Linked DNA regions of Oreochromis niloticus. The protein of the gene in region 2 interacts with the protein of the main gene of each other region in a biochemical or structural test. Links are inferred from orthologs where the notes say so. Each region holds a gene or a part of one and is shown on either strand. Other genes may lie near its edges. The genes, in order: e2f2, rb1 and prdm2b.

The links.
Region 1: the proteins of rb1 (region 2) and e2f2 form a complex in vitro, tested with the Homo sapiens proteins (2 studies listed by BioGRID and IntAct, with this or other methods). The link is inferred for Oreochromis niloticus from reciprocal best matches to the Homo sapiens genes RB1 and E2F2.
Region 3: the proteins of rb1 (region 2) and prdm2b form a complex in vitro, tested with the Homo sapiens proteins (2 studies listed by BioGRID, with this or other methods). The link is inferred for Oreochromis niloticus from reciprocal best matches to the Homo sapiens genes RB1 and PRDM2.

What each region holds. Positions count from the first base shown.
Region 1 is NC_031983.2:14,406,911-14,410,664, reverse strand, and holds the start of e2f2 (transcription factor E2F2), read left to right. Parts: upstream 1-1,388; 5' UTR 1,389-1,621; exon of another isoform or gene 1,622-1,812; 5' UTR 1,813-1,932; coding exon 1,933-2,208; intron 2,209-3,754. UniProt on the Homo sapiens protein: Transcription activator that binds DNA cooperatively with DP proteins through the E2 recognition site, 5'-TTTC[CG]CGC-3' found in the promoter region of a number of genes whose products are involved in cell cycle regulation or in DNA replication.
Region 2 is NC_031975.2:11,025,134-11,028,887, reverse strand, and holds the start of rb1 (retinoblastoma-associated protein), read right to left. Parts: upstream 2,220-3,754; 5' UTR 1,811-2,219; coding exon 1,701-1,810; intron 1,236-1,700; coding exon 1,115-1,235; intron 1-1,114. UniProt on the Homo sapiens protein: Tumor suppressor that is a key regulator of the G1/S transition of the cell cycle. The hypophosphorylated form binds transcription regulators of the E2F family, preventing transcription of E2F-responsive genes.
Region 3 is NC_031970.2:17,984,976-17,988,729, reverse strand, and holds the start of prdm2b (PR domain zinc finger protein 2), read left to right. Parts: upstream 1-1,264; 5' UTR 1,265-1,579; intron 1,580-3,301; 5' UTR 3,302-3,304; coding exon 3,305-3,419; intron 3,420-3,754. UniProt on the Homo sapiens protein: S-adenosyl-L-methionine-dependent histone methyltransferase that specifically methylates 'Lys-9' of histone H3. May function as a DNA-binding transcription factor.

The DNA.
Region 1 (3,754 bases), on a different chromosome or scaffold from region 2:
CATTTAACTCCACGTGAGTTTCATAAAACAAATTCACTGTTTGATACACTGAACAAATTTTGAAACATCACAAATTTTGATGTGACAGAGAGAAACATCACTAGTGATTTTTTTTTTTTTAAAAGAAAAGAAACAAGCAACAAAGTTTAAAGTACAAAAGGTACATCACTAGAATGCTGTGAGATGTTGCATGTTATGCAGTTGGGATAAAACGTGAATCTGAATTTCCAGTATTGCTAGTTATGCAAGAACACCTACAAATTGTGCAGGATTTTGTGTGAAAGAGGAAGAAACATGAGGGTGGGGATAATATACGTTGCACTCTGTGGGCATCCAGTGCAGTAATATGTGGTGAACGAAGCAAATTTCTTTCATCTGACAATTAAGAATTATCTCCCCATCTCTAATCCAGTGTAATAAGGAGGCAACTATGTCAGCTTTTTTTCTTCACCCTCGGTTTTTTAAAGGCACAGATGCACAACAAACAATAAATTTGTTGTGCATTCAAACCACTTTCAACTTTGATTATTTCATTCAAAATGCCGTTCAGATTGAGGCCGGACAATGGGGCTGCTTTGGTGGAGAGTCTACTTTGTCTTGGCCAAGGGGGTCAAGTCATATGGCTTGGGTTTGGTTGCTGCAAGTGGGGGAGGGGGTGTTTTCTTTCAATACCTCCTCTGAACCAATAAGCAGGAGTGGTACTGAGTGAATCCAATTATCATCTATAAACTACCCCAGCAACACCTTGTAACAGGGAACAGTACACTTTGATCACATAGAATACAATAAAGCAAAATTGTCTTTATTGTTTACAAAAAACATACAGTGTATATTTAATTATATTTACAAAATAAAACTTTAAAAAAAACTTTCCAATCCTTTCTTGCCCTCTGATTTCTAATACACATATTTTATTATGTCCTAATTACCCAGAGAGCAATTCGGCACTATTTGAACATACTGTACATGATTGCGCCATTTGCAGAATCAGACTTCATTTTAATACACTGCAAATTTCATATAAACATATGAAGTTAATATTTAACCGTTTTTGTAATCTTTGACTGTCAAGGAACTGAACTGGGATGCTGTAAATGCAAGTAAGTGGTTACAAGTGGAGTTAAAAAGGCAATAAAAAGTGCTCCAACAACAATAATGCACCTCTAACGTGTGATTATAAAGTCTGGGCTGGTCATTGTCTCCATATCCAGCCTGGCAATGAAAGAACACCATGTCTCGGATGTGTGCTCCTGTCCCTTTAAGCAGATCACTCCCATAGCCGTACAACTGTTTTATGCAAATTAGACAAGCCGAACGTGCCATGAGCCAATCAGAAGCGGCTTTCAGCCGCGGGAGATCCGAATTTCGCGGGATGAAGTTTGGCGGTAAAAAGACTGCTCTGCCCCAGCTCTTGCCCCCTTGTATGGAGAGAGGAGCTCTGAGGTGGACGGACAGGAGTGGCAGACTGGGTCGGATTCAGCACCAGAGGGAGGCACAATAATTTGTTAATCTCCTGCTGGAACCGGATCTCAGTGAGACCTGGAAGCCTTGGAGAATTAAACTTTAAAGTTCTGGACGTTTGAAATAGTTTATTTATTCAGGAAGCTATTCTTTATAACTGGTAAGGCAAGTTTCCTCTACACTGATACAGGACAAAGGATAACAACACCGAACAGCCTGTTGAATGTACTAATGATAAACGTCACATTATAACATATAAGCCTGTACTGCATGTGTAATTCATGCGGCTTGAAGCTAATCCGGCAGTTTACGCTGTGAAAGTTGCTTTTGTTTTGTTTGTGTGTGTTACAGTATAGGCAGTTTATATATTCATAGAGGTCCCGCAGTAGGTGAAGCTTGCTGAGCGATTCAGTGTGCTCAAGTACAGGCACACTTCTGCCTTCGCCTCACCGGTCCGGTTCACTCAGAAAAATGATGCGGATGCCTAAAGGCGTCTCGCCGGCATCGGGTCGGCAGGCAGTGGGGCTGCCTTGCTCTCAGCAGAAGATGAAGCTTTTGTCCACCGGTGGAGTGAAGACCGACTTCTTCCTCGCCGGACTGTCCAGTCCGCAGATGAACACGGTACCGGCCGGATATTTCACCCAGATCTGCAACACCAGCGTGGCCGAACAAAGAGCCAACAGCCTGTATTCAACCCCCCATGGACCCGAGGTTAAACCGATCAGATCATCCTCCGGGCGACTGCCGGTAAATAATCACACAAATATAAGCCTGGGGTCGTGTTTCCTTATTGTATAATATTTAGCGAGGGATTTGCATATGTCCGGAGGAGGAATATTTGACTTTTTTCATTGCTATGCATGTTTGAGAAGGGCGCATTCAGATATGTTTTGACGTGATAAGCCACAGAGGGGCCACTGTGGCTGCTGCTGATGTGCGTGAATGGTGTCTTCTCTCTTTCTTTTTTTTCCTTATCCATGCCAGGCTGTGTGACATCTTCTCCCGCAGTCCAGCTGTAGCTAACACAAGGCCAGACGCCTTGTTCTGTGTTTGATGGTTTTGATGAGCCAGTGGGGGTGCTTAGAGAGAGGCCCCACTCTCTTATGCCCAAAAGACGAGTGCCCCCCCTCCTTGATGCAGCAGAGCTAGTTTTTTTTAATACAAGCAAACAATGCAGGGGCTCAACCAAGCTGGAGGAAAGACACTTAAGGCAAATTCATAGCTTCCCAACACTTGTAATGGGTGATAACACACATAACAGATGCTCCACCCTCACTTCCCATTATGTCAAAACAGGGTCTGTGTTGGACAATGGGAAGGAAGCATAGGTCAGAGGTCATAACCACAGAACAGGTGTATTTTCTGGAGTGTGAAAGTATTACTATCGGAAGCCCTAAAGCATCACAAATAAGTAAAAGATTAACCTGTTTTGTAGAACACGTACACAGTGGGCTTTAACGACGTTTAGCAATGCCGTTCATTTTAAACTCGAATGCTGAAGATTATTTGAAAATCCTGATCTGAGAAGATTGGGTGACACTCAGCAGCTTTTTAGTGCTCCACACCTGTTGTTGTTTGTTGTATTTGGTGTCTTTATTCCAGCTGACTCGTCAGCCCTGGAGTCTTTTTTTAGATTTAATGAATTGCAGTAACGCTAAAGGGGTTAGAGTGTGTACAGGGTTTTCAAATCGCATGTCAAATCCCCAGCCCTAATAGGCCCTTCAAGAGGATTAGATGGATATAAGTAAAGTGAGAAATAGGGTACCACCTGGCATATCATGTGCCAATGTGAACCTGACTGCTGTCAAAGTGTGTATGGGTTGTTGGTTTATAGAATTATTACATGCATTCACGTTTGATAACCTGGTTTTCACCTTGAAATCCAACCTTAAAGTTTGGCCACTAGAATAAGCAAGAATTCAGTTATTAAATGACAGAATTTTTATTTACACCTCAGAAAATTAATTTGTAATTGTTCGACATACTGGATGTGATGTGGTTCAGTAGGCTTTACGACACTACCCCTGTGTACGCAATCATGTCGCCTGTGTTTTTGTGCATGCACACTGTGACCACGGTAACTTCTGTTTTCAAGGGATTTGAATATTTTCAGTTGTTGCACATTGTCACAGGTGCACATTTCAATTTTACCACAAAAACAGGAGCCTGATTCAGGTTGATAGAAGTGACGGCACGGTTGAAAATACGGATGAGGTTTCAAAAAGTTCTCTGATTAAGAAACTTCCTCTGGATCACTTCAGTAAATTGGGTAAACTTAATCAAAGGGAGGGAG
Region 2 (3,754 bases):
TACATAAAGGGTTTTTAAAGGGTTTATGGCCAAAACAGTACAAATTGTACTTTCTTTCACTCCCCATGCATTTACATGCCTATCACTAACTTTGTGTTGTCTTCTTCCCACAGCTTGTGATTTGCCATGTTTGTGGACTTTCCTTTTCTTGTCTTCTTTTTGGATCTCTTTCAACAATGTTGTAGAACACAGGTGTCGAACTCCAGGCCTCAAGGGCCAGTGTCCTGCAGGTTTTAGATATCACCCTGGGTCAACACACCTGAATCAAATGATAAGTTCATTACCAGGCCTCTGGAGAACTTCAAGACATGTCAAGGAGGTAATTTAGCCATTTAAATCAGCTGTGTTGGATCAAGGACACATCTAAAACCTGCAGGACAACAGCCCTCGAGGCCTGGAGTTCGACACCTGTGTTGTAGAACAGGGGTGGGCACCGAGGGCCGGTGTCCCTGCAGGTTTTACATGTGTCCTTGAACCAACACAGCTGATTTAAATGGCTAAATTAGCTCCTCAACACGTCCTGATGTTCTCCAGAGGCCTGGTAACGAACTAATCATGTGATTCAGGTGTGTTGACCCAAGGTGAGATCTAAAACCTGCAGGGACACCGGCCCTCGGGGCCTGGAATTGCCCACCCCTGTTGTAGAAGCTCTGATTTGCAGGAGAGATTGGATACACCCTGGTTTCTCTATACTTGAGAAGGGTCATATGGACTAAACCGTTATTAATGAATAAAATAATGCTGAACTGTGCGGGGTTATGCTATAGTTAAACACCCTTGACAGGCCATAGGGCTAACGCATAAAGACAATCAGTTTAGAATCACCAAACTGACTGTGTCTCAGTTCTGACCCCAGTGAGAACCCAACCAGAAACAGGAGGACATACAGCCTGGATTTGTTTTGCTGTGAGGTGACAGTGATAACCACTGCACCACCATTCCATCCTGCAATATGTATTGCTTTGGGTCAAACACTGTTCTAATTTGTTGCTGTATAAGATAAGGAATTTAAATGATCGATTTCCACTCATGCTTTTTCCAGGACAGGCGACAGGACTGCAGTATTATAAATGTAGAGTGGAACTACTGAACTACAGTATGTGCAAATACGTACAGCAGCTTCATCCACGGACTCCTGAACGGTTTTCCACAGCGTCCAGGCTCGATCACATACAGGGTCAGTCACATGAAGGCTCTTGCACAGAGTCACAAACTCAGCATCCTTGTCTCCGTACCTAAAAGATGGAGACCAGAGGTTAGCAACCACGGAAAACACGAATACGGTTTCAGGAAATCAAAACAACTGCACTCAAGACAACGGTCTAGTCTTATGAGGTACTCTGACTGCCAGTCAGAGTCTGAGCAGGGTACAGGGTATAGTAGGGTATAGCTCTCAAACACAGCGTTTGAGAGCTATACCCAGACTACATTTCAAATTTCATTCATTACTGAATAGTTACTCTTTGACCAGTTGTATGGGGCTAAACATACTTTTAAACTCGCTGTTATTAGGCCGGTGGACACAGCTAACAGATCAGCCTGACGTTTAGTCGCACAAGCTAGCGAGCAAGACAAACGTAGCTGGGGGAAAGACCAAAATATCTGTCTACAATGTCAACATTTTTTTATTTTTTTATTTTACAAAGCCACAAACTGAAGCTACTGCGACTTGACGGCGAGGTGATCATTACTTCTCTTACTTCTTAAGAGACAACTCTGGACTTTCCTTCTTGTCTGGAGAGGCATTTTCAGCAGTGGGTTTCATCTCTTTGCTCTGTGACGTCCCAGAATTGCGTTTTTTAGGTGGCATCTTGGTATCCGGTTACGTAACGGCCAATAATTAATAGATAAAACTCAAATATGTTTTAAAGCCGACTGATATTGTTTACTAAGTGTAAATCCCACTTCAAGAGTTCCGTGACAACAAAACCTCAGTGACTTCCTGCAACTGTAGATCTGTGGATGCTCGTTTTGTATCAACGTACTGCGCGGTGAAGCGCCGTTGGCGACGCTGCAGCGGTGTTACAAGTACTCGGCGGTTAGTGCTCAAAAACCTGTCCACAAGACTTTGTTCATTTGTGTTTTTGCGATCGTCAGTCTCCGTTTAAACTCGGTGTTGTCAGAACTTCTGTCAAAGAACCGATTTATAACTTCTCACGCACAGACAAGAGGTCTGTCATTGCAAACAGACAGATGTAGCGTTACGCCGGGATCACGTGACAAAAACCGCAAACGAACTAACCCAACCCGAGGACTCGAAAACGCGGGAAAAAAAGTCTACGTAACATCCTGTTCGACCTCCAACGCGCCTGGAACAGAAATAGTAGTAATATAGCCCCTTTACATACACCTGCAACCCACAACATTTAAACCTTCTGCTTAATATCGGAAGCGTTTATTCACTCATTGTCGTGTTCCTCAATTAGTTTATGTGGCACTTACAGGCTGCACTATTTCGGGAGGGGAGGCTGTGCCTCTGCAATAATATATGTTAAAGTAATATCATGTAAAAACAAAAAAAAACGATGTCAAGGCTTCCCGGTAGAGGACATTAAATGCAGTTAGATGACCATTATTATCCCGTTCACCTGGTTTTTATCTTGCGGGTGATAAGTGTAAATTATAGCACACATGTACATGTTTATTTGGCAGCTCTGTTAGTGTGTAAAACTTCACCTCTAAGTGTGCAATCGTTGCCCTCTCGTGGCAAAAATTCACAAATAACTTGTGCTGCAAGCTTTTAAGAAACCTTTCCAGTGAGTACATATTACCTAGTTAGAGGACCCTCAATCACCTCTATTGTCTGTTAGTAGCATCCTACTTTCATGCGGAAATACATTTCACCAGCCATGTTATGAGGTTCACTTTGCCACTAAAGGGTTGGATCCCCTTTTGCCTTTAGAACTGCCTTAAGTCTTTGTGATAGAGGTGGGCTGATCGATCCAAATATTGGTAGCATTGATACCACTGCTGGTATTGGTACTGGATTGATACTAGCGCAGTAGGATTGATACTTTCTTTGTTAAGTTCAGTATGTAACCCACTGACTTGTGTAAAAAAAATATATATATAAGTTATTTTTTGGAAATGAAAAAATATGCGTCAAACATACACTGTGAAAAATGACTGAACCTTTTTGTGTGGACAGTCACATCTACTTTATTTATAGCCTGTCTTTATAGGTTAAAAGTATTGGTATTGCTATCTATTGCAATACTGGCCCTGTGTTTACTCGTTATTGGATTGATACCAAATTTTGCAGTACTGCACACTACTACTACTACTTTGTGACACAGATTCAGCAAGGTGCTGGAAACATTTCTCAGAGATTTTTAACCATATTTATATGACAACATCCCACAAATGCAGCATATTTTTCTGTTACAGAGCCACGATGCAAATCTTCCACCCACAACATCCCACATCAAAGGTGCCCTATTGGATTGAGAGCTGGTGACTGTGGAGGCCATTTGACTACAGTGAACGTGCAGTCATGTTCAAGAAACTAATTTGAAATTATCTTAGTTTTGTGATATGACACATCATCCTGTTGGAAGAACCTATCCTAAGGTAGTCATAAAGGGTTGGTCAAGGTCAGCAGCAATACACTGTGGTACAACTTGAATGCTGCTTAATTGGTACTAAGGGGCTCAAAGTGTGCCAAGAAAATTTCCCTTACACCATTACATCACCACTACATGCTGAACCATTAAAACAAGACAGGATGGATCCATGCTTTCGTTCTCTGTAAACC
Region 3 (3,754 bases), on a different chromosome or scaffold from region 2:
AGGGCATGAAGTCACACCATAAGAAGCTGCCACATGGATGCTTTCATGATCATTAACAGCAGGAACGGTGTTACCTTTTATTCCTGTTAAAATTAGACAGAGACATCTGCACTGTGCAGAGACAGGTGGTAAATTTTCCTACACATCTGATCACAAGTGTTACAACTCAGCCAGTACTTATAATTTAAAGTGCTGATCTGACCCCAGCCCAGTTCCATCTCCTACAGTCACAGTTCACAGATCTGCAGGCTTGTACAGGAGCTTCCACATGGACAACCAGTATGTGGTATCGCAGCAGCCTCTAGTGGCCACAGGCACTTCCTGTTAGTAGTGAGAAATGTCACGTCTACCCAATTTGCTCGACAGGAACCAGTACTCTTACTATATCTGTGAGGTTACACCACAGCCCAACAGGAACTCCAACAATTAAGCTGAGTTGCTTGCTTTAGCTGTTTATCCCACCCACTTTTTTGTGTATGTGTGTCGAAATAAAGGAATCAGGTTTGTGTGAACTGCTGTGGTGCTCAGAGTGATTAGAAACTTAAAATTTATAAGTCTTTTTTCTCCATTATTAATTTAGCATTATGGTGATCTAGCGCTTTGATTGTGTTAAATAATCTAAAAAAAAACGGTTGTCCTGTATTTTACTTAATCAGACTGACTGACTGAATCATGCAATATATAATTATATGTATATTCATACTGATGTTGATGAAACCAGCTATTGTAAGGCCTTGCTTCCTCAGTTAACATACATAATACATACACACACAATACATAATTTTCCTGAGGGATTAATGACGTATTCTGATTCTGATTAAGTACTTTTACTGAAAAGTTTTCACTCGGCTCTCATTTGAACTTGTTTCTACATTATTCTGTTAAAAAAAATCTTAATAAGTTAACAAAATAAATTAACCAACACGTGCTTGTGCTTTTGGAAACACTAAATCCCATTTCACCCCCGATATACCTCCCTCATTTTGAAATGATGTATATTATTTAAATTCTAAAATACTGCCCTATTAGATTTAGAATAACCGCAATAGAGATATGGCAACAAGGAAGCAACAGCTCCGTTACTTAAAATGAAAAATACATAAAAACAGAGGACGCATTGACACCCTTCTGCCTGCATTTCCACTTCTTTTTTTGAGTTCCTCTCTGCTATTCATGGATGCACAGATGGTACCAGCCTACAGGCCCATTATGCTCACAGATGAATCTAAGCAAGGTACTTAATTGGCATGGTTTCATGTTAGGCTGCAGTGTGGACAGGACTTGGACCACTGCTTGCAAGAGAGGCGAGCAAGGGAGCCTTGCTCTTGTCGTCCACAAAAAAGAAAGAAAGAAAACCAAAACACCCCCCTCCTTCCTCGCAGGCTGACTTGAGAATTATATTTGCCCCATCGCTGTGTGTGTGAGCACGGGTCTGAGAGGCTGCCTCTCCCAACTCCACTACACCGCGATTCGAGTCACTGAAAAGGCTTTCGACTCAAGCCTCCCTCCATCCGCCATTTTCAACAGATTGACAGCAGGTAGAGCACAAAAATCACAAGTTCCCGGTGAAATAAAGCAGGTAAGTGCGCGTATGAGTATCCTAAACCCAACAAACACCTTACGACAGGAAATATTGAGGGAGAAAAACCGCTCCAACCACCTTACTCCCGGCCAGCATCGGGAAGAATAAGGGGAGCGGACGGTTTGCCTACAAGGGTAACAATAAACTGCATCCTTCAGGCGCTTTAGTGTAAGGCTTCCAGTCTGTTTTGTTTGCTTGGATCAACTTTTTTTTTCCTTTGACGATCTGAGAGAAAACGCTTTATAATGCGCTTTACGCACACACCCTAATTAAAATCTCTTGCTGTTTGTTGCTTGAACTTCAGCTAGGGGGGATTTAAACATGTCTGATCACAACTCCAGGAACGCCGGTGGTAGTAAAAGAAAAAATATATAATCAATCTACACCGACTGGCCAATAAAAAGTTAAGCATTTTAGCCTTTATTTTAAAGGGGCATCAATAGCTCAAGCTCGAGTGCCTCAAGTGGAGACAGTGAGGTTTATTGTCTCAGCTATGCCATTTATCTGCCACTGAGATAATGCAACCTCATCATTATGTCATGTTACAGTCGTTAAGGTCAAAATATCTGCTAGTGAACCGCTCGGGTTTTATATCTCTTTATTGGATTGAGTGTAATAATGCGTATGCCTGGTCCACAGAGCCACACATGGGTCAGCTGCTTATTGTTGTCCCTAACAAATGGCTTTTCTGCCAGTTGGGATACAAAGCGAGAGACTTAAAGCTCAGTATGTGCCTGTTATGGAAATAGTTACAGGATTAATTTGCTGAGCTGAAAGTTAATTCCGTGATTAGTTAATAGACAGGAAAAAAAAACCCCTCTAAAACCAACAAACAAAAGATTATTTTGGCTTTTTTTCTCTTTTATTTTTTATGAGTGTAATTTGAAAAGTTTCTGTTAACTTGCACAGCGTACTGATACTAAAGGTGTTAAAGAGCGGCTGCCTGCAAGGCTCTAAGTGGAGTAAGATGATGCTTACTAAATGAATGGAAGTTCACCAGCTTGTGCTGGAGAAGAAACTTGGAGGGGTGGAAATAACAAATGGCACTGACAATTAAACCTGAGAGCTACATTATTAAACTGAAAAGGAATAATATTACACACATACAAGTACACAATCCCTGATTTTTTTCCTTTTCATGGGTGTTTTTTTTTTTTTTTTGCCTCAGTTGCACACTGACTGAAGTCTGTAGTAAATGATTGTTTCATATGCACAATATACTGCTGTATCGCGATACCGCTGAGAATTATTCTTTATAATTCCTGTAAATCAGCCTTACTGAATCTGAAGCATAAACCTTTTAGCTGCTTATGCATCTGGGGAATAAAAATGGCTGCATAATTATTCAGAGCCACAAGAGGCTTCTGTAACAGAAGCTGACGAGGAAATATCTCCAAAATGCTGTCTAGCTGTGGTCAGATTTGCATGCTGCAACTTCCATGTCAGAAAAAAGAACAGCTGTTTCTTTTCAAGAACAGGAAATGGATCACTATAGATAATAAGACATTGTAAGTTTTGCTTTTATCTACTATCGGATCTCAGTTTTATGGACAGACGAGTAAAAACGCAGCATTTTACATGTTGGCGATTAATTCAGTTTGAGAGCGTACATTGAAGTGTGCCACAGTGTTTTAATCAATTTGAATATAACTGCAGATGTTTTAATGAGCCAGGTGCTTTTGACAATCAATGAGTGCTGCTTCATGTCACTTATTGCAGGTCATGGCTATTACTGGAGGTACAGTGGAGTCTTTGAATGAAATTCCAGCTCATGTGTGGAAAGGTTTGCCTGACTATCTGAATCTGGGGCCTTCTGCTGTAAATCAGAGCCGCATTGGTGAGTAGCCGGTCTCATTTCATAACTGTAACAACTTCTGTTAGGACTGGCAACATGTTGAGTTTCATTTGAATCTCACGGCAACATAACCTTGAAACAGACTTCCAGCAACCAATGATTGCGGGGCAAAGCGAGACCAGGCTGGGCCAGAAAGTGAAACTTGAAAATGATAACTGAATCAGAGCTTAAACAAACATGAACCTTAGTGCAAGTCATCGGAGTCAAAGGCTTTGAGTGTTTTTTTTCTAACATGCCTCGTGCATGCTTACTCCTTCAAAGAGTCTGTTAGATGCATAAACATCTCGTGGTGCTAAACACCCGTGCTTTACAGCTAG